3 linked regions of the Drosophila melanogaster genome follow. The protein of the gene in region 2 interacts with the protein of the main gene of each other region in a pairwise test. Each region holds a gene or a part of one and is shown on either strand. Other genes may lie near its edges.

Region 1 (6,384 bases), 6.0 Mb from region 2:
GGTGGGCAAACTGCTGTTCCGGAACTCTGCTGATGGCATCAAAAGGATTTGTCTCGAGCTCGGCGGCAATGCTCCGTTCATTGTCTTCGATTCGGCGGACATTGAAAAAGCAGTGGATGGCGCCATGGCCTCGAAGTTTAGGAATTGCGGACAGACCTGCGTCTCCGCCAATAGATTCTTTGTCCAGGACAGCGTCTACGATAAGTTTGTTGGGCAGCTGAAAAAACGCGTGGAAGCTTTGAAGATCGGAGATGGTCAGGGTTGCGATGTGCAAATCGGACCACTGATCAACGAGATGCAGTTCAACAAAGTCAGTGGCTTTGTGGAGGACGCCAGGTCGAAGAAGGCGAACATTATTCTGGGCGGACAGCCGTTGCCCGACAAGGGATCCCTTTTCTACGCACCCACAATTGTCACAGATGTGCCACCCTCGGCGCAACTCTACTCGGAGGAGGTCTTTGGTCCAGTGGTCTCCATCATACGGTTCCGAGACGAAGAAGAAGCGGTAAAGAAGGCAAACGACACCAGGAGAGGCCTGGCCGGTTACTTCTACAGCGAGAATCTGCAGCAGGTGTTCCGGGTGGCCAAGCGACTGGAGGTTGGCATGGTCGGCGTCAACGAAGGCATCATCTCCGCAGCAGAGGCTCCGTTTGGTGGCGTCAAGGAGTCCGGTGTCGGACGGGAGGGTTCCAAACACGGTATCGACGACTATGTGGACATCAAGTACATTTGCATGGGCAACCTCAAGTACGACTGAAGTCCGATGGAGGGATCACCCCCACTGCTTTCATACGCTGTCTTCCACTAGAATGCGATTGGTTTATTGTTGTCTAATTGTAGAATAACACGCCGCTATATTAATAAATGTGCACAAAGTCTACCTGAAGCTAATAGATAATTTCCCTTTTTTAAAATAGCCCGCCTCACCTTTCGATTAATTGGGATTGGTTAACAATCGCTTTAAATTGACAAGAAACCGATCATAGAGACATCGATATCCGGGAGTAATCGATTTTTCTCCACCTCTGGGCAGACTATCGCCATCCCCACAGCTGTGCGACAGAGACAGAGACAAAATTACAATGCCAAATGACAAAATTGTAAGTAAATTGTTGATAAAAAATTAAAAAGTGCATTTAGGGTGGAAACTAAGCGAATGTCTTATTGGTGAAGTGTGTGCAGTGAAATTGGTCAAGTGTTTCCCTATAGCTACCCACCAAAAAAGCCGGCAAACAATGTCGGTTTTCCAGTTCGCTGGCGTTTGTTGTTGTTGCCTAAATGTATGGAAAATATATTTAAAGTGCATTTCAGCCGGCAAAAGCGAAGCATATAATGCATAATGAACCCATTTGGAAGCACTCCCGGCAGTGCAAATCCACTGCAAGTCCCGAAATGCGGCCAAAGGTGCTGGCGGTGAAATTGAATGGTACCATGACTTGTAGATTTTCCACTGAAAGAGTGCAGTCTAGGCGGCAGTAGGACTGAGGGGAGTGTGCGGGGGTTTTGAGACCAAAAACCGATCCAAAAACCAAATAAATTATTAACAATTGTTGGCTGCAATCCGCCTGGGGGAAATGCATTTGAGGATATTTCTGTCTAATAAAGCAATTTCTGGTTGATAGGGTGCTACACTCAGAAAAATGTCTCTGCGTAAAATTAATTTTTGAAATATATGTTTTGTAAAATAAGAAAACTGCACATACCAGTAAATAGCACAACTTAAAATTTTAAATACAAATTTAATATAATTTTTTTGTTTTAAAACTGCATGCAGCTTGTCTTTCAAAATGCTGTTTTATTTTTTATTTAAAGCTCATACAATTACAGATCCGAATTTACATATACAGGCATTAGTTCTCTTTTTAACTATGCACTCATTTTGGCAACGAATTGCATTTGTTTTTAATTGCGATGCCAGATAAATTTCCGCAGTCAAGTTCGCGCCTTCATGACGTACAGTTCGAAACACTAAGCAAAAAGCCCTACAGGCTTTGGTAGCTAATAGCTACACTTGACAATCCCCCTTACCCAATCTACCACCCACCACCGCCCACACAAGAGCCCACCCAACCGCCCATCACCCAGTGACCCGTCCAGAAAGTCCAGAAAATGGCCTGTGCACCACTGCTGCTCGAGCAATTCATCTACAAGAAGCGCAATTTCGCCTACGCCTTTGTGCGCCATCGTCTGTTTGTGTTATGTAAACAATCGGTTGGATCAGAAATTGCCAAATTCACCTGTCCTAGTACTAATTAGAATCTGTTATTCATTTGTTAATTCCAGCTAATTCGCGTTCAGTCGGCGGAGGGCATCAAACGCATCGAGATCTCGCCCAAGTCAAATCTAAAGCATCTGTACGACAGCGTTCAGAATGCCCTGAAGGTGGATGGATTTGGTCTCTTCAAGGAGCGCAACTTCCTCACAGAGCTGCAGGCAAGTGGCTCCCAGCTGGTGGGGACTTCCTTGAGGCATGGCGACATGGTCTACTTAAAACAGATGGCTGGCACATCATCGCGCGTAAGTTGATCATATAGAGCAGAACGATCGGGGACTAACCTGCATTTTTCACCACTTCTCAGCGCACTAGCACCACTGTCCTGGACAGTCAGGCGTTCAAGACTAGCACCATTAGCAATCCAAACAGCGCTCGTCCATCCTTCAATGTGATCGAAGATGACGTGGACCAGGCTCTGAGCAAGGCTGATGGCACCATTAAGCGCGAACGTGATAGCAAGCTGTAGGCCTTGATTATACAATTAATTGTAAAATTAAACTGATCAACCTATAACTTTTTGTAGGTGCCACCACAATGCCAACGGCCGTTGCGTTCACTGCTCCGCACTGGAGCCCTATGATGAGTCCTATCTGAAGGAGCACAATATCAAGCACTTGTCCTTCCACTCGTACATACGAAAGCAGACATCCGGCATGGATCAGGGCAAGTACTTTGTCTTCGACGACATCAATTGCCGCATCAAGCCGGGATGTCGCGAGCATCCACCATGGCCCAAGGGCATCTGCTCCAAGTGCCAGCCGTCGGCCATTACGCTGAATCGTCAGACATATCGCCACGTGGACAACGTCATGTTCGAGAACACTAAGATCGTGGAGCGCTTCCTCAACTACTGGCGCACCACAGGACACCAGCGCATGGGATATCTGTATGGGACGTACGAGCAGCACACTGATGTTCCGTTGGGCATTCGGGCCAAGGTGGCTGCCATTTATGAGCCGCCACAAGAGTCTACCAGGGATTCGATCAATATTCAGCCGGATGAGTTCGCCGACGATGTGGATGCCGTAGCCAGTGCGCTGGGACTGAAGAAGGTTAGTTAGTTATAGACAGTAGCTATGTAGCATTAGTATTGACTTTTGTGACATTTATAGATTGGTTGGATTTTCACTGATCTCATCACGGACGATGCGAGTATCGGCACTGTCAAACAGATCCGTGGCATCGAGTCGCACTTTATTACGGCCCAGGAGTGCATCACAGCTGGCGAGCTGCAGAATCGACATCCAAATCCGTGTAAATATGCCTCCAATGGCGTCTTCGGCTCTAAGTTTGTGACCATTTGTGTAACAGGTAAGATTCACGATTTAATACTGCTTAATGAACTAGTACCAAAATAGTTTTTAACATTACAGGAGATAAAACCAAACAAGTGCACATGGAAGGCTATGCGGTTTCGGCTCAGTGCATGGCTCTGGTGCGCGATAATTGTCTGATACCCACTAAGGATGCGCCCGAGCTGGGCTACGTGCGTGAATCCACGGACAAGCAGTATGTTCCCGACGTTTTCTATAAGGTAAGTTAGAAAGTCTCCCCCCCATTCAAGCAAAATCAGTTATCGGGCAACCTTTATTGAATTACGTTCACACATTTACACAAACAACTTCCATATTTAGACATCAATACGAATGGGATTTGGTTTTTCAGTTTGATACATGCAAAGAAAATTTGGGTGTCAAGAGCAACGCCAATTCAAACATTTGACATCTAGAGGCTTACATTATCTTGGATTACGTTGATTTATTTATGGAACAACTTCATTATTTTCCTTATCCTTCTCGGTTTGTACTTCTCATCATTGCTCTGGGTTCTCCTTCAAACGTTCATTTTATTTTTCCTATACCTAGGACATTCATAAACAATGTTGTTATTTAGCGCATATTCAATTGTTAAAATAACTTTCTGAGCAACTGCCAAGCCAATCACAATTTTCCAGTTATTACCCTTATTTTTTTTTATTTATTTTTATTTTGCCAAACTGTTTTGTTCTATCTAATGCTTAATTGTGATACGCGTTTTTATTATTTTGGAAAATATAAGATTTCGATTTGATTTTTTTCTTTTCAATTGAAGTTAATCGTTGATTGATTGATTACTTAAAATAATTTAAAGTATAATAAGTCTACAAATTTCGTAAAATTGATTTCGATTTGTTCCTAAAAAGATTCTTTGCCTTCCTTTACATCGCTAAGGTCATATTATTACTTGATTCCCTTATTTTTATGGATGGCTATTCTTGGCGTTCATTATTTCATCCATCACAAACATAGCCTTAGTTATGATCACATCAAATGCATATTTAGACACCGAAAACTATCTCGTTTATTTACTTATTGCTAATAGGTTTATTTCATATTAATTATTAACTTGAATTGACATTAATTACATGTCAGCTATGTATTTGGATTTCACCTTACTCGTGGTTTCAAATTTTTAAGTTTTTATTGTAGCTAATTTACTATATCCAGGTATCGTCGTAGCGCTCCAACGCACATTTAGTGTCGTTTTCCTTAAGCTAAACTTATTTAAATACTCAAGGTCTGTTACAATTTCCACCTTGTCCATGAATCTGAAATGTTTATAGATCATTGATAGTCTTTTTTTTATTTAAAATAGCATCCAAAACGTTTCAATAAGTTGTAAATTGTTTATAAAAATTCTTTCTTTCTTTGTTAAAAAAATTGGCTTCTGTTGCTGAAAATGTCGAGTTTCAAGTGTCTTACATTGATCGTTTATTTTTACAAAATTTATACCAAGATTTGCATTCCAAGAATAAAATAGATATTGGGTGGTGTTGTACATTCAAAGTGTTTAGGAGCTTTCGGTTTGATACTGTTCGATAAGTAGGATTAGCTAATGGATCAGTCGGACTTATTATTGGTTTAAATGATATTCCCCACAATTCCGGATAATGCTCCTAAGGGCCGGGCGTCCTAGAGCATTGCCACTGGCCGCAATTCGGTCCACCAGCTCAATGCCCTGGACAATGAATCCGAAAATGGCGGTGAAGGATCGCATCTCGTTTAGCACCAGCCGAAATTGGCTGCCCACAAATCCACTTCTGTCCTGTCGCCGCTGTCCCCTGCGCATACCAACCGTTCCCCGATGTGCCGGCAATCCCGTTTCGTCTGGCAAAAAGTATCTGCTCTCAAAGGCCGAGTGCCCACCGCGTCCGTTCTGCGATTCAAAGTCGCCGGTGATGATGCTCTCGCCTCCCCAGGCCTGAAAGACAGTGCAGCCACGATAGCCATAGCCCCGCTCGTGCCGCACCAGCGCCCCAAAGTTGTCCGCCATCCGGGGAGCAGCATCAGATCGCACCTCGATTAGGACCCGTCCGGCCAGTTCTCCTGCTATTTCCATGTCCAGAAAGTAGATGGGGTAACAGTGAACGATGGGCTGACGCACAATGCTTACCGATGAACTCGTACCGCCATCCTGTCGATGATGATCATGGCTTTGTTGACCAATTAGCTGCGGCTCCACCGAGTTGACGAGAATCGCATCTGGCTGGTAAATTGAGTGGGTAAGCTGGTGTACTTGCTGCTGCTGCTGCTGCTGTTCCTGTTGCACTTGCTGCGGCTGCTGTTGCAACTGGCGCACCAATTCTCGAAGTCCATATTCCGTGTCTAGAGCAATATAATTGCTTTGGCTGTTTGTACTGCTGCTGCTGTTCGGCGACGAGGAGGATTCGTGTGAACCATCATACGGAGGTTGACTGAGCGTTCGAAACTGCTCGAGTTCGATCTGCTGCACATAATCCAGAAGTTCCACCTCCCGCAGGCTATTATTGAAATGCGGAGGCACCACAGCTCGCCGCGGTTCCGGCAGTAATTCTGGATCCGGTGTCAGATTCCTGTGGCGTGGAGGAATCATTTCGCGCTGCATCTCGCACCAGTAGGCGTACACACAGTAGTTGGTGAGGATGAGCGCCTGCGGTGGCCCCACATTGGCGGGAATAGCACCGGGCCGACGATGACTGCGTAGCCGTGCGATCCTGTTATTCAGAGTCTCAAAGTCCAGGACCTGCATCCCGTTCTCCTGAATTGCGGCTTGCATTCGACATTGAAAGTGCACCTGGTCCAACTGGCGCT
Region 2 (7,877 bases):
TGAATTGTCACTAAGACAGCGCAGCCAGACGTCGCCCTCCCCACGCAGATCCAATTGCACGCCCTTGCCGATGTGGAGCCTGCATGGAACTTGGTAATTAATCCCTGCTCTGCAAGTTACTCCCAGGGGGATGTACTCACCTGGCCCGTTCCGATTGTTCAGTGCGATGAACATTGCTCAAGGCGCCCAGACAGAATCGATTGCCTCCAGAGGGATCCACATAGCCGTCGATGATTACGTTCGGTTTCGCTGACGGCACCTTGAAGGTCTCGCCCACTTGCGTGTCCAACTCGAAGTATGCGATGGAGCACCAGTATTCCGGCGGCGGTTGGCGAGACAGGAGGCGTGGTTGCTGCTGTTGTTGTTGCTGCTGCGGAGGCGTCTGTTGCGGGGAGCCGAGGTCACCCGAAAGCGACGAATTCCCTGGAAAATGAAGGACAGGGATTACAAAGTCGCACAGTGGGCTACATAGCCTAGACTTACAGAAGCCCCCGGGTAGAGAGCGCGGATCTGGTGGTTGCATAGACTGCGTGTAGGTGAGGGTGTTGGGCCCTGTCCAGGTGCCAGCCGCACCGCCTCCGGCGCCAGCCTGAGCCCCAGCAGACCCAGTATTGGCCTGCACACCGGTCGGTGGCTGCTGCGGCTGCTGTGGTGTGGGTTGGGCTGTGCCAAAGACGCCACCACCTCCAACGGGAGCACTGCCCGCGGATCCTGGCTGCGACACGTAGCCGTTTTGCTGGGCGTGGACGGACGGGGCCACCGAGGTGCCACCCCCACCGGCACCTTGCATCTGACTAACAGGAGGTGGCTGTCCATAGTACTGCCCTCCAGCTGCTGCTCCACCGCCGGCATTAACTGATCCATTGGGCACACCGCCTGATTGCTGCTGTTGCTGCTGCTGCTGTTGTTGTTGCTGCTGCTGCTGCTGCTGCTGTTGTTGCATGGCCAGTGCGGAGGCGGGATCTGTGGGCGAATTGGCCTGGGTATGGTGCACCCCATTGCCCTGGGGATTCTGAGCCTGCTGCGGCGGGGGTGGGGGTGCCATCACGGGACCGGGATTCATTGGACCAGGCATGCCCGGCATACCGTGAGGCACAGCTGAAAGTTGATTTTGGGAAAAGATTAATGTGTATTCAACTAATTGTTAATAAGACAAATATTATAATAGTTTAAAATCCAACATATGAGAAAAATTGTAATTAAAATTCGATTTTCGAAGCTTCAACTATAATCAAGGCCATATCCTTACGGAGTGAGTGAGCAGCTGCCTGCGATTGTGCCTGCTGCTGCTGTGTAGGTTGCGGGGTTTGCTGCTGCGGCTGCTGCTGTTGTTGCTGCGGGGGCTGACCCAGCCGGGGGGGAGGCGGTACCATCCAAGAGCCACGCGACCCAGCAACTCCATCCTGGGGCTCGATTTTTGGTATTGTGCGCCCGGTGGGAAACATTGCACTCATGGGATTGGCATCGCCAACTACGCAAAGTCAACATAAAATCGCCAAAAGGAAACAAATATAAATAAATTATTAAAACCAAAGAAATAAACGAATGTAAACAATTAAGTAAAATGAACAATTCAGTTTAAAATTATAAATAATATAGAAAAATTATCAAGAAATCCAGTATCGAAAACTCAAACTATATCGAATTAATGTCAATACTGTAGTCTTACCATATTCAGAGGGACCCTGTGGATATCCGTAGCCGCCGGGCCCCACCATTTGCGTGGGATGGTGCTGTATGGTGCCGATGTCGTTGCCATCGATGTCCATGCTGCCCACCAGCGGACCCGCTGAGTATTCGTCCTTCACCAGGCGACTGGGGCCCGACTGCAGACTCAGGCCGGACAGATCGATGCCCGGAGAGACGACGCGCTCGTAGTGGTAGGGATTCACGCACACCGAGTCGCACTTGAGATCGAAGGCGAAGGCGCAGTACTTGACGTGCTTCAGCTCGTTCTTGTGCAGGTCAGGCCAGCGCCAAATCCGGGCGTATATGACGTGCGGAAAACCCTTGCGTCCAGCAACCTTCGATAGAGAATGGTAAAGTGGTAAGTTCATTGCTTATACACATTATCAAATTCGATGCAGAAAGTCTGAGAGACTCAACCTACCTGCAAGCGACCATCGAGGGTGCGCTGTATGGTCACGCACTTGCTGGGATGGGCTCCGTTCGTGGTGATGGCCGTGATCAAGGAGTCCAGTTCGTCGCGCTTCTCCTTGAGCTTTTTGACCAGCGACTCGATGGCTCGCTTGGCAAATCCCTCGCTTTCGCCGCCCTGCCGATGGCACATCAGCGAGTGGACGATGCTCAGACAGGCGTCCGCCGATGTGGGGGCGTTCGAGGGCGGCGGCGGCATTTGCACCATGTCCCGGACAATTACTGCAGATGGTGGGGGTAATTAGCTCTGAGTTTTTTTAGTAGATCAACGGATACTGTACAGCTCAATCCAATTTCATTTTAAATTTCAAAGAGTTTCAAGTTTATCAACAGTAAATAATAATGCTACGGTAAGATTTAGGATTGTCCACAATACTTGGCCACAAATCGATTTTAGAATAACAACTCGAAAAGGAGTTCACTATGACTGCTGCTCCTCTAGAGAACTTCACTTACTGTCCTGCGGGGCTACGGCGCCGTACATGTGGGCGGGCGGACACGCCCCCGAGCCGCCGCCCATGCCAAAGTCCTGGGCGAGCGAGCCCAGAGTGCGAGCATGGGCATCCACGGCGGCGTTGTTGCTGGATCCGGATCCGGAATGGGGATCGTGAGCGGCGGAGAGCGGAGTGGGGATCGTACGGTGGCTGGAGCAGGCGTAATCGAAGCCGGCGGCGGGCAAAAACAAGGCGTAGAATCACTGGCCAAAGAAAAGCCAAACAAAGGCGGCACGCGAATGTGAGCACAAAACAAACGGCGGCTGGATGGCTTTGTGTGAGTGGGCTTGGGGGGTGTTGCACACACGCATACACACACACACGCGCGCGCTGAACTAACTCGACTTGAACTCCCACAAAGTTGGCGTAATTTCCCTGCGAAAACTCTCCTCTCCTTCGTCTTCTCCACCTCCTTCTTTACGCACACTGGCACACGCACTGCACACACACACGCCCAGCGAGAAGTTTCCTGCTCAAATCCTTGGTAGAGACTGGCTTTTACTGTTTTTCGTGGAATTTCATAGTTTGCACTTAATTGGCTGCTTGGGAAACTCGAAAGTACAATTTTCCGCCCGACGAAATCCAGTTTTCCAGCCAATTTGCCTTTTTTTCCTTTTTTATTTTGTTGCGGCTGTGCAGAGTGACCGTTTCGCGATACAACATGGGCGGGCGTTGCCAGATGGGCAAAGCGCGAAATACCTACCTTGGATTTTTACAAACACCTAGTTTGGTCAGTTCTCGAAGATTTGATTTGAGAATAAGTTTATATTTTTTGGAAATAAGAAGCAAGAAAAGCAGATACTGATCAAAACGCAGAGGCATCCGGGTAAGTGCCATGAGATTTGTTACACCGACTTACACTCATTTCGCGGGCTGTTCAGTGCGTAAAACGAACTTTTTGAAAGGCCGAAAATCAATCGCCACGCGTTTTTTCCCATTCGCATGTGTGTGTGTGTGTGACGAAATTGAGGAAAGTTTCTTATCGTTGAGATTGGGGAAAATCGAAGGCTGAACATCTTGTGCAACAAGTTAATTGATGTTTTCGCATTCCCATTGAAAAGTTTCTTTCCATTGCTTTAATTGCTAAAATTCATTCATAAAAAATTGCCGTTGATGAGTCGTTTGTGTGACAGGTTGTTTCTAGAAATATGCATGTGTGTGTAGTGGGGCCTGAAATAGACCACCCCCTTCCCCTCTTCTCTTGAAAATGTTCACTTGGCAACAGTAACGAATTTCCTTTTCGCCGGAAATGCATTTCTCCGGCTTTTGTAAAACAGTTTGCTGCGTAGTTTCCATCTTCAAAATATCTTATCAAAATGCGTAATTTCAACGCTTATCTGAACGGAATTTCGATTTGCGGCGTACATATGTAAATATGTTTATATTTTGGCAATGACATTGATTGTGAAATTATGTGTGGGAAGTTTGCGATTCCCTGCCAAAACAGAAGCTTCCATTTGTAATAGTAATTTGGGAACTCAATTTAACTTCGAGGATTTGTTGCCCTCATATTTTTTAATTCCCTAACTAATTAAATCACTTGTCATAAAATTGTCTACATCCCGCATTCAGAAGCATAAAGTTATTATTTAATCCCTATCAGGCTTACGGTGTTGAAAATTGTTCGACACCAAAAAGAATTATTGCGGGCTTATTTGAGTTCGGTGTTCAAAATTGTTCGACATCAAAAAAGAATTATTGCGGGCTTATTAGGGTTCGATAACATTACAGCGAAATGTTAGTTAACAGAGAGAATCGAATAACATACACATCGATAGTGAGGGACTATCGCTTCCGCTGGCTTAGGGTATTTTATAGTACAAATTTCAGTTCGCACCAAATCTGTGGAACTTGTAGGCCTACTGGTAACACTGGTCGCTCACAATATTCTTCATTCGTAAAAAAACAACAAAGCGGAGAAGTACCGTTTTTGCGAGCGCGAGTGTTTGAATGTGTTTGTTTGCTTAGGAATAGAAAATAGAAATTGAAAAGGACCAAGTGCAAACGTACAAAGCTTTGCTAAAGCAGAACTAAAAAAAATCAGCAGGAGGAAAATGCACAGCTGATGGAGAAAAGTCCCAAGCACCTTCAGCCCAGTGTGTGTGGGAAAAATCGATCCGCAGACGGGAAAAATTGAGGATAAAATGCCAGCCTAATAAACAGAGTTCCAATTGTGATACAAACGCAGTACAAATTAGTTAACAACTAGCTTAAATGGCCAACGACAAGGTTTTATAGCTAACTATCTGACGCAATTGAATAAGCGTAAAGCTGCCAGCCAATTTATTCACTTATTTTCGAGTGCAATAGAAGCAAAAATTCACAACTAAACAAAGTTCATCTCAACATTCCTGCGCAACACAAAACAACAAAATGGCTGTAAAAACGTAAGAAAATGCTAAATTTATTTAAGAGTGGAAAAGTCGATAAAATGCAAAAAGAGAATCAAGGTTTTTTTCTTCATCTATCAGATGATTTTGTTTGTAGGAAAAAAGAAATTATATTAGGCATACATACAAAATTCGTTCATTTACGTGTTTGTTTCGCTTCCATTTGTTTCACAGCTGTTTGTCTGGTGTTTGTGTGTGTAAGCGAGAGAGTGGATTTGGGGTCCGCTATTCGTAGGTCGTTGCTTACAGAGTGAGCGAGAGGGTCGAACGAGGGGTGGGCGAGGAACTATGCTGCTTGCAGTGGTATGTGTGTTTGAGGGGCTGTGCTTTTTATGCAAGCTGTACAACATACATATGTAATGAGACTAATGTACGCCTTTGTTTCCTTGGCACCGCCTTATTCGCCTAGAAAACCCATTCCTATTGCCTTCCCCCATTTGCATATCTGTTTTATTTCCAATTTGCGTCAATTGTTTTACTTCATATTCCCCTTTTCCTTTGTTGTTCTCCCCACAATTTGTGTGTTCCGCTTCCAAAGTTCCCTTGCCATCGTACACACACGCGAGCTGCAAACAAAGACTTTGTATGTGTGTATGTTGTTCCCATTCGGATTTTTACCTCATACACACACTCACACCAGCACAGCAACTTGATTGGTTTGGGAGTGTGCGTGCTCTGGCTTGGAATTGCGTCAGCCAAAAATAAAATATGTGCGACGGATAAAACTACTTGTTTTCGTTTCAAAAACACTTTTGCTCATTTTAGGAAGCAACTTGTTTCTGGAAAACACAAGTAACAACTGCTATTACATTCCGTTTTGTACCCCGTTTCTCCTGATTTCACCTTCAGCGCATTTACTTTGTTTTCTGGGTCATATTTGTTGATTTCAATTTGTTGCGCAGTCGCAAAGTCGCGCAGAATTGCTTAATTTGTTGATTTTCATATTTTCCATAGCCTCCAAAATAATATAAATACAACGCATAAAACGACCCCACGCACGCATACTAATGAAACAGTTGGGTTGGTGTGGGTGTGTGGGTGTTGCTGTACCGTTGTTTTATTTATTCCTCTCCACACTTGTTTACATGTAAAAAGGTCTCTTCTATTCTCTGCCTACCTTCTTTGTGGAATGAATAGAGATGGGAACGGGTGTGAAAAGGGGAGAATTCATCATTAACCCTTAGGTGGGCAATGTCCAACTATTTGGGTCACGTCTACTAAGTAAGTCGCTTTTGGAATAAAGAGATTAACTTACAATTCCCGTTTATATATTCCCCTAAAGCCATTGAACCAAAATGATTAGTTTAAGGCTAAATAACCCGAAATCCAGCTGACATCTATTTGGCTTCCACTTGTGGTTAGGGTGGCGCCTTTTTAGCAGATATCGTCTGCTTTCTACCTGTTTTCTTCGATTTCAGTATGCCATGAAATTCGTGTGTCTGCAAAACGACAGACGGCCCAAAGTGAAATTCAATGCCAACACTTGAGAGACAGCTGACCATCCCAAAAAGCCATATGTACATATATACCACGATTCCCATTCCCGGAGATTCAAAGCCAGAAAACCCAGAAAAAGCACTCAACTGAACCGATTTCAACCCCCTTCCCTTCGACTTTCCCCCCATTTCCAGCTCGTGCCAGGCGACTTTTCGAGTCCCACCCCTTTCTAATTGAATTTCACGAAAGGTGACGAAATAAATCCCATGGTCCCGACTGCAGCTGCCCTTTCCCTCTATTTGCACTGCAGCTGCTCTCCTCTGGAGGCATTTCTATGGGTTTTGTGACAAATGCGATAAGATCGAGCCGCTTTATCTATCGAACCCATGTACTTACGTCATGGAATGTTACGAAACGTCCGCCTCTTCTCCGATAAGCGAATCCCGGTCTATAAGTCATCAATGGGATTGCAGTGTACCACCAGCCAGTTATCTAAATGTCAGCCAAAGGAACCTTGGATATAGAACGCGTGTACAGGGAATACAGCCTACAGTCGTAATTAAGCCCATGCGATAACTTGAGGCCAGCAATTACGCCGATAAACATAGAAGCCTCTATAGGGAGGAAATTTTCTCCAATTACGCCTGGAAAATTTCCTGCGGAACATGAGCTTTGCTATTTACTTGGTCGAGGGATCCTCTTGCACTTGGATACACGAATATTTCTAAAAGTACCCAAACAAATGCAATTTCTGATAGCATGGTAACCCAGCTCTTCAGGAGAATGAATCATTAGACCACTGCCTTTGTGTTCGATCATATATATTCAAAAAACCAACTAGCGTCCCCGTCCCTTTGTTATTTTGGGACTTTGAACTACGACTGCGTTGACCGCGATTAGCACTCGCTTATCATTCCTTTTGGGCACGCTCCTCAGACGCTCAGCCGACGCTGCAGTGACTCCGACTTTGGGCACGTTCGCTTCACGTCAGAGAAATTCTTGTACTGCATTTCCGTTGATAATGGTCAGTGCGCGGGTGCAAATCGCTAGTCCATTGGCAGATAGCCGACGAAAACATTGATTCCAAAACCAAGGAAGCTACGAGAGGGCACTGGAAAACAGGCTTGGCAAAGGTCGATCGCCTGATAGATGTGGTGGTGGCACTATTTCCAAATCCAGCCAACCCCAGTGCAATGATCTTTTTCTTTTTTTCTTTCGAGGTCTTTTCTTTTCTTTTCTTTGTTCGTTAGTGTATCTTTCGTATCTTTTGCAGCACATGCCAATGCAGCTGCTGCAAGATCTATTCATTTAATTTCCCCGCCACTTGTGCTGGGTCATCTGGGAAATTCAAATTCCGAGCTCTGGCCTGTCTGTCAGCAGGGTGGATTTGAACGCTTTT
Region 3 (6,113 bases), 4.0 Mb from region 2:
CCTCGAATTGTCCCAGGAATATGTGCGAGTTGCCAAGATTACTGTTGGCCCTTCGCTCAGCCGCGCGATCACCAAACTCTCTGGCAATGCGCAGTCGCTCCTGATGATGCTCAATGGCCGCTTGGAAATCGCCTAGTAGGTAGTAGGTATTTCCCAGATTACCACAAGCTCGACCTTGAGCACCACGATCACCCAGATCCCGCATGAGCTTCAGATTCTCCTGGTAAAACTCCACGGCACGGGTGAGCGCCTCCTTGACATCGTCGCCGAACTTTCCAGGGTTTCTCTGACCCAAGTGCTTGCCCTTGGCGTGGTAGACATTTCCTAGGTTGTAAAGAGCGCGTCCCTCGGACAGACGATCTCCCAGCTGCCTGGCCAGCGTTAGGTGCCTCTCGCAACAGATGGCCGCCTCGTCGAAGCGACCCATTACCTTGAGGGTGTTGCCCAGATTGCCAGAGGACTTGGCCTCGCCCAGTCGGTCGTTCATGCTCTTGGCCAGCGTAAGATCGTGTTTGTGGTACTGCATCGCCTTGTTGTAGTCGCCTAGGTAGAAGTAGGCGTTGCCCAGCTGGGAGTAGATGGCGGACAGAGTGCGAAGATCCTCGGTTCCGGCCTGAATGGCCGCCTGGAAGAAGGCCACGCCCGCCCGGCAGTCACCCGCCTTGCAGAGGCGTTCACCCTCGAGGGCCAGTTCCAGGCACATACTGGATCCTCCGTCGGATCCGGAACCCTGCTGGGAGTTGCCGTCGTGGGAAGTAGTTCCTCCTCCGCCCGATCCCAGTCCCAAACTGGACACATTCTCCGCGGACGCAGAGAGCGAGGACATTCTGCTGCGAAGTCTCGCCTTTTTGTCGCGATGCTCCTTTTTGAGGGGCAGGTGCTCTGAAAACTGGGAGTTGTCCACTTTGCGGCGATGTTTTGGGGTCGATCTTTGGGGTTTTTAGCTAGCCTCTGGCTGGTTTTGAACTGCTGGTGGGTAAACTTAACTGCGACAGGTGAAATTTCAGCAATTAAGCGATCTTTTGTACCGTTTTTTTGACTAATTAGTGCGTTTCTGATTCACGACCAGTGTGACCGATTGGGGTCGATGAGAATACCAAGCAGATTAGAAAGAAATACCAACTTTATATGGTATGTCGTTGGATTTAAAAATAATATCTGTTATATTTTGTTTTAAGTCAATTGAACAATTTTAAATTACTTGTTATTTTTCCCCTACAACAAAGATACTATGAAAATTATATAAATAATATGCCTTTACCTCATGACCATAGCTTACATATCAGCAATATTTAGTAGCCCAATTGGTAATATTATATATATAATTACATTGTTTGATGGTTAATGTATGCATGCCGTTTGATTTAAAACTAATTTTTTTTTAACTTTAAGAAAAAGCAGTTTAAATTCATTTATTAGAATTCGAATTAGAAATCTTATCAGATGGTTGCCCTAATTTGAGAAATGTTAGCCACTGCAAGACCATAGCTTATAAAGGATCAATACTTATGAGCCAAGCTAAAACACAATTTTATCATAGTCTTTTCTTATTTTTGTAACGTATTAGTAAAATCTAAAATATATTGGCATAGTTAACATTTATCATTTTCGGTCAACAAGCCATAGCCCTCATCCCTATCAACCGTAGTTGGTAGCCAGCACTTTTGCAGACGCGCTTTGCAACACTAATCGCTTCAAAGATGGCGTCACTTCTACGGTGTCTGTGTGAACGATTCTAGTTGCCGCTGGAGAAAATTCGTAATTCTCGCATAAAGCGCACCTGCCGGTTACCAAAATCGATTGAAAAGCGAACGTCCCATATTGCGGCGCGATAAGCGGGTGAAATTGTGGCAGTGCGTGCGCGATAGACTGTTAGAAAAGCAGTGCAAATTGGAAGTCCGGATGCTCGAAGGTGTGTGTGTGCGTCGCTTTTTTTGTGCGGTTTTCAGCTGCAGTCGGCCAACAGTGCAACGCAAACATTGTGTTCTAAATTACATAAAGCAGGGAATTTCTGCACGAAGGCAACCGAAAAAAGGACTAAAAGGAAAAAATTAGCCACACAAAAGGAGAGCGAGTGCGACAGGGAAGGAGGGATACAGAGCGAGCGAGAGGTCGATAACGATAGCCTTGTTTGGTTATCGCCCTCGATAGGAAATAAAAACGGGAGAAAAACTTGAAAGCAGCGGCGTCTTTCAGTTCGCCGGTGTGCCCGTGCGTTGGATGGTATTTTGTGGTATTTTCATTCATTTTTGGGACTGTAGTGTGACCGTGTGTGGGAGAGAGCCGCCTAAATAGAGAGCGCGACGCGCAACAACAGTTTCTGTGGTGAGTTGAAACGAAACTCACCACGCTCTCACCCAGAAATCTGGCACAGTGGTCTCGAAACAAAAGCCAAATGAGTAATCGCACCTGGGGAATCTAGCTAAATATCAGCACCAAACAATTGAAAGTCAGCTAGATGAAAACAATAACAATAGTAATACTATTCGAAGTACTAATACTAATCAATTGGAGGCAGGCTTTTCGTTTGTGTGTGCCTGCTCCCTCTCGCGTATAGTATATACCCATGTGCCAGAGAGAGCAAGCCGAAAACGAAAAGAGAGCGCGAGAGTCGGACGAAGGAAAAAAATATCGCCACAGTTGCCGTATGCCGCCTTCGTCGTCGGTTGCAAAAGATATAGAAATCTTTTATATACACACATACGCAGTCGGTTTTTAATAAATTCTGCAGCGAAAATTCCAAGCCCGAATAAAGAAGGAGAAATAAAAGGCAACTAAACAAAGCCGAGTGCAAAATTAAAGCCAAATTTCCAAGGCGAATGCAAATTTTTCAAGTGCGCAGTAAGCGGCTAAATCCCCAGACGCAATTCGGTGTTTCAAAAGTTTTAATAAATAAATAAATATGTAATTACGCTCGCAATCCAGCCAGCCCGCACACACACACGCACACACAAATACACGCACGCAATCGGTTAGAATTCGTATGAGCATATATATTTTTTACTTATATTATTTTTAGAATATCGATTTTGTGCCGCGTGCGTGTGTGTGTCTCTCTCGCACCGAGTGTGTGTGCCTGTGTGTGTGTTTGAAACATACATATTTATGATAAGTGTGTGTGTCAAGCAGTAAAATGTGTTAAGAATTATGTTCATATAGACACAAGTTACCTAATCTTACTCCTCTTACCTAAATGAGGAAAAAGGCAAAATAGATGAAAGGAATCAACAAACCGAAGTGAAGCAAAAGATAGAGCAAAGGCAACAGCGAAAAGAGCCCCATCAAAACAGCTGCGCTCTCTCACCTTTTACTCATCTTCCCATCCTCTCTCTCTACCCATTCACATTCTTACGCTTCTCCCATTCCCCAAAGTGCGCCCCACTCACTCACACACGTTCGCCATTAAAGATCTTTGTGTATTTTGCTTTGACACCGCATTTACATGTGTTGACCCCACTTGGACAACACAGCCCCCCCCCCCCCTCCCATTCGAACAACCCCCTCCACCCGCGCGATGCGTTGTGCAAAATTCTCTCGTGAACTACAGTTCTAATTCAATTATGCCAACTGCTATACACACATCCACAGTGAAAACCAGCAAGCAGCGCTAAACCGCCAGCCAAAAGCAAAGATAAAACGAGAAAAAGCATCTCCGTGACGTAGGCAAACGCGAGAGCCGAAACCGAAAACCAAAACTGAAACTGAAAAAACTGAGATATCGAGCAGACGAGAATTACAAACTCTGAAATCGAGAAAGGTATGCCAAGACCAACGGAAGTTGGCCCACAGCGAATTTGATTCAAATCGATGCCATTTTGGGCTAAAAGCTCGCTCCATTTCCGTTCCATGCCTAACCCTTGGATAACTAATGTGCCATAAATGAAACTACTAGAAATTCAAATTCAAAATGCTCAGAAAAACAGGGGTTTGAAGGAAGGAAGTCCATCAATACAATAGAATATCATTACCCCTTTCTTATTTAATTAATAGTTATTATTATCCACGAAACACGTAAACTTAAATATCAATTTATATATACTATAGCACATCAAATTGTTAAATGTGTTAAATCAAACATAATGCCAATTGCCAACGTCACCTCAATATGAAATGTCTTAACGAATTAAATAAATGTGGCCAAGGGGTTAAGCCATAACCACCGATTGAAAGTCAGGCAAATAACTGGTTCTAATTGATTGAGTGATTGCTTGAGGGGGTGGGTCAGTGGGGGGGGGGGGGGCAGAACCTGCTCGGCAAATTAACAAGTTCCAATTGATATATACGTGTGGGGACACACGAAATTCGTCGAGCCTACTCGAAATTATCATAAATGTGTCAAAATGGTAAATCAATTCGAAGGGGCAGAACAACTTTAGCTCTATATAGATATATGTAGCTGTAGCTGTCATCGCGGTGACAAGGCCCTCGATTTGCCCTGAAATTAAGCCATTATATATCGCCGCACTGATCACTTTAATTATAATCCATAATCCATGTAATCCACAAGGCAACCCAAGCACGCCCAGCGTAAAGTTCCCAAACCGAACGTGACTAGGGTGCAATTAAGTGGCGATGAAAAAAAGATCACTTAAATTTTCAGCGATTTGATTTCCAGTTTCTAGCTGACAATCGCTTTTTATTGTTCATCCAAGCGGGTTTGTGTCAACTGGCCCACTGTCTATTTGCCCGTTAACTTGGCTTTGACGTCACGGATTTCTAGCGCTTGCAGGATGCAGTCTAGAAGCAACTCCTCTTCAAATAACAGTGCGCAAAAGTAATTAAAAGTTGAGAGGGGAAAACCCTATAAATCAATACCAGGTTGCAAACTGACTTGCTGTAGATATAACAACATTTTTTTTTAGCATCCCTATTGTTATTTATGTTGTTGTGGCCAGGGCGTTTCGCTGCCAATTTCGTTGTTTGAATTCAAATTGGCAACAACCGACGAACTATAAACTATAAGATTTAATGACCCGCTTAATCTATAAGAGCAAAGTTTCTTCCCAATTCTGAAATTTTTCCACCGATTTGTCTATATTTGGCCGGCAATGAACCATTTTCCCGATGACCGACTTCTCGCTAAGACATTTTCTAGTGCATTTTCCTGGAGAGTTTTAGCTTCTGAGCAATTTTAACGAGTTAACCGAGGTAGTCAACCCAAATAAGTGTCATGCCAGCCAGTGTGTGCAACAATTTGTGAGCTCACTTATTGTGTTTTCACTGTAAAGGGGAAGAGGGGGAACGTAATGCTGCCATAAAATGCCTCCGCATACGAATGTGCGCATATGAAGCGCTCCTCCTTGTGGGCTCCCAGTGTCGGGTGAAAGACGAGAGCTCTATTATAAAATTACCAAGTCTCTGGGACATTACTATGTGCCATGTACGTACGACCTGCTTTGCGACTGTTCACCTTTTTGTCGGCGCTAAACGCTGAAAGCCAAACGCACATCTCGCTGGCGGCTTTAACTTTACAGCCTGGCCAACAAAGTTAAAGAGCGTGCTCAGAGGCAATTTGCCTTTTGGCCTGGCCATAAGTTGACTCTTTCTACGCGAATTTCCCTTATGCCCGCTGAGGCTTGGCCACCTCCTGATGGCCACTCCACTCGCTTCTGCACATCGCTGGCTGTCTGTTTTGACATAACTGACCTCACTGCGCTGTTTTCCCTCACATTTTCCTCACCTCGTTATGTACGGATTGCTGAGCCATTTTCCCAAATTTCACACGGAGGAAAAAAGTACCTGAGATACAACAAGATTCTGATTGCGCAACTGGTTTCTGCTATCTCTGAAATGCGATAAATGTTTTCCATCTTTGGTTTTTGTTTTCCAAAGAACCATTTTCATCACTTTGCATCAAAATGTGAAGATTTTACTAGCCAATGTGGATATTACTTTGTATTCCCCAGAGAAACTTCACTACCACCATCATCTTGTTTACCTCATTTCGACTGCCCAAAATAAATCCGAAAGCCATATTTCTTTCAACTCCATTTGAATGCGAACAGATTCACTTTAGCCGGTGGGCTGTAAACAAATCTTTTGTTCCGTATCGAATTGCTTTCCATGCATCGAGTAAAAATATGTATCTTTGGAACGACGCTGGCTTCTCTGCG

The links.
Region 1: the proteins of CycG (region 2) and Npl4 interact in a two-hybrid assay, tested with the Drosophila melanogaster proteins (2 studies listed by BioGRID).
Region 3: the proteins of CycG (region 2) and wdb interact in a two-hybrid assay, tested with the Drosophila melanogaster proteins (5 studies listed by BioGRID).

Annotation. Positions count from the first base shown.
Region 1 is NT_033777.3:25,619,305-25,625,688, reverse strand, and holds the start of Npl4 (nuclear protein localization 4), read left to right. Parts: upstream 1-1,943; 5' UTR 1,944-2,109; coding exon 2,110-2,211; intron 2,212-2,283; coding exon 2,284-2,517; intron 2,518-2,579; coding exon 2,580-2,737; intron 2,738-2,798; coding exon 2,799-3,327; intron 3,328-3,387; coding exon 3,388-3,586; intron 3,587-3,648; coding exon 3,649-3,809; intron 3,810-3,850; exon of another isoform or gene 3,851-5,167; coding exon of another isoform or gene 5,168-6,384. Other genes in the region: Ssadh (succinic semialdehyde dehydrogenase), read left to right, coding at 1-757; CG5071 (uncharacterized protein), read right to left, coding at 5,168-6,384. UniProt on the Drosophila melanogaster protein: May be part of a complex that binds ubiquitinated proteins and that is necessary for the export of misfolded proteins from the ER to the cytoplasm, where they are degraded by the proteasome.
Region 2 is NT_033777.3:31,606,481-31,614,357, reverse strand, and holds the start of CycG (cyclin G), read left to right. Parts: upstream 1-3,379; 5' UTR 3,380-3,477; intron 3,478-4,542; exon of another isoform or gene 4,543-5,038; intron 5,039-7,877. Other genes in the region: Med (medea), read right to left, coding at 1-79, 141-423, 484-1,098, 1,250-1,471, 1,670-2,024, 2,111-2,379, 2,614-2,677. UniProt on the Drosophila melanogaster protein: Cyclin with roles in multiple processes including transcription, meiotic recombination repair, cell cycle regulation, and promotion of normal growth and metabolism.
Region 3 is NT_033777.3:27,577,801-27,583,913, reverse strand, and holds the start of wdb (widerborst), read left to right. Parts: upstream 1-1,672; 5' UTR 1,673-2,325; intron 2,326-2,370; exon of another isoform or gene 2,371-2,770; intron 2,771-3,588; exon of another isoform or gene 3,589-3,757; intron 3,758-6,113. Other genes in the region: pins (partner of inscuteable), read right to left, coding at 1-826.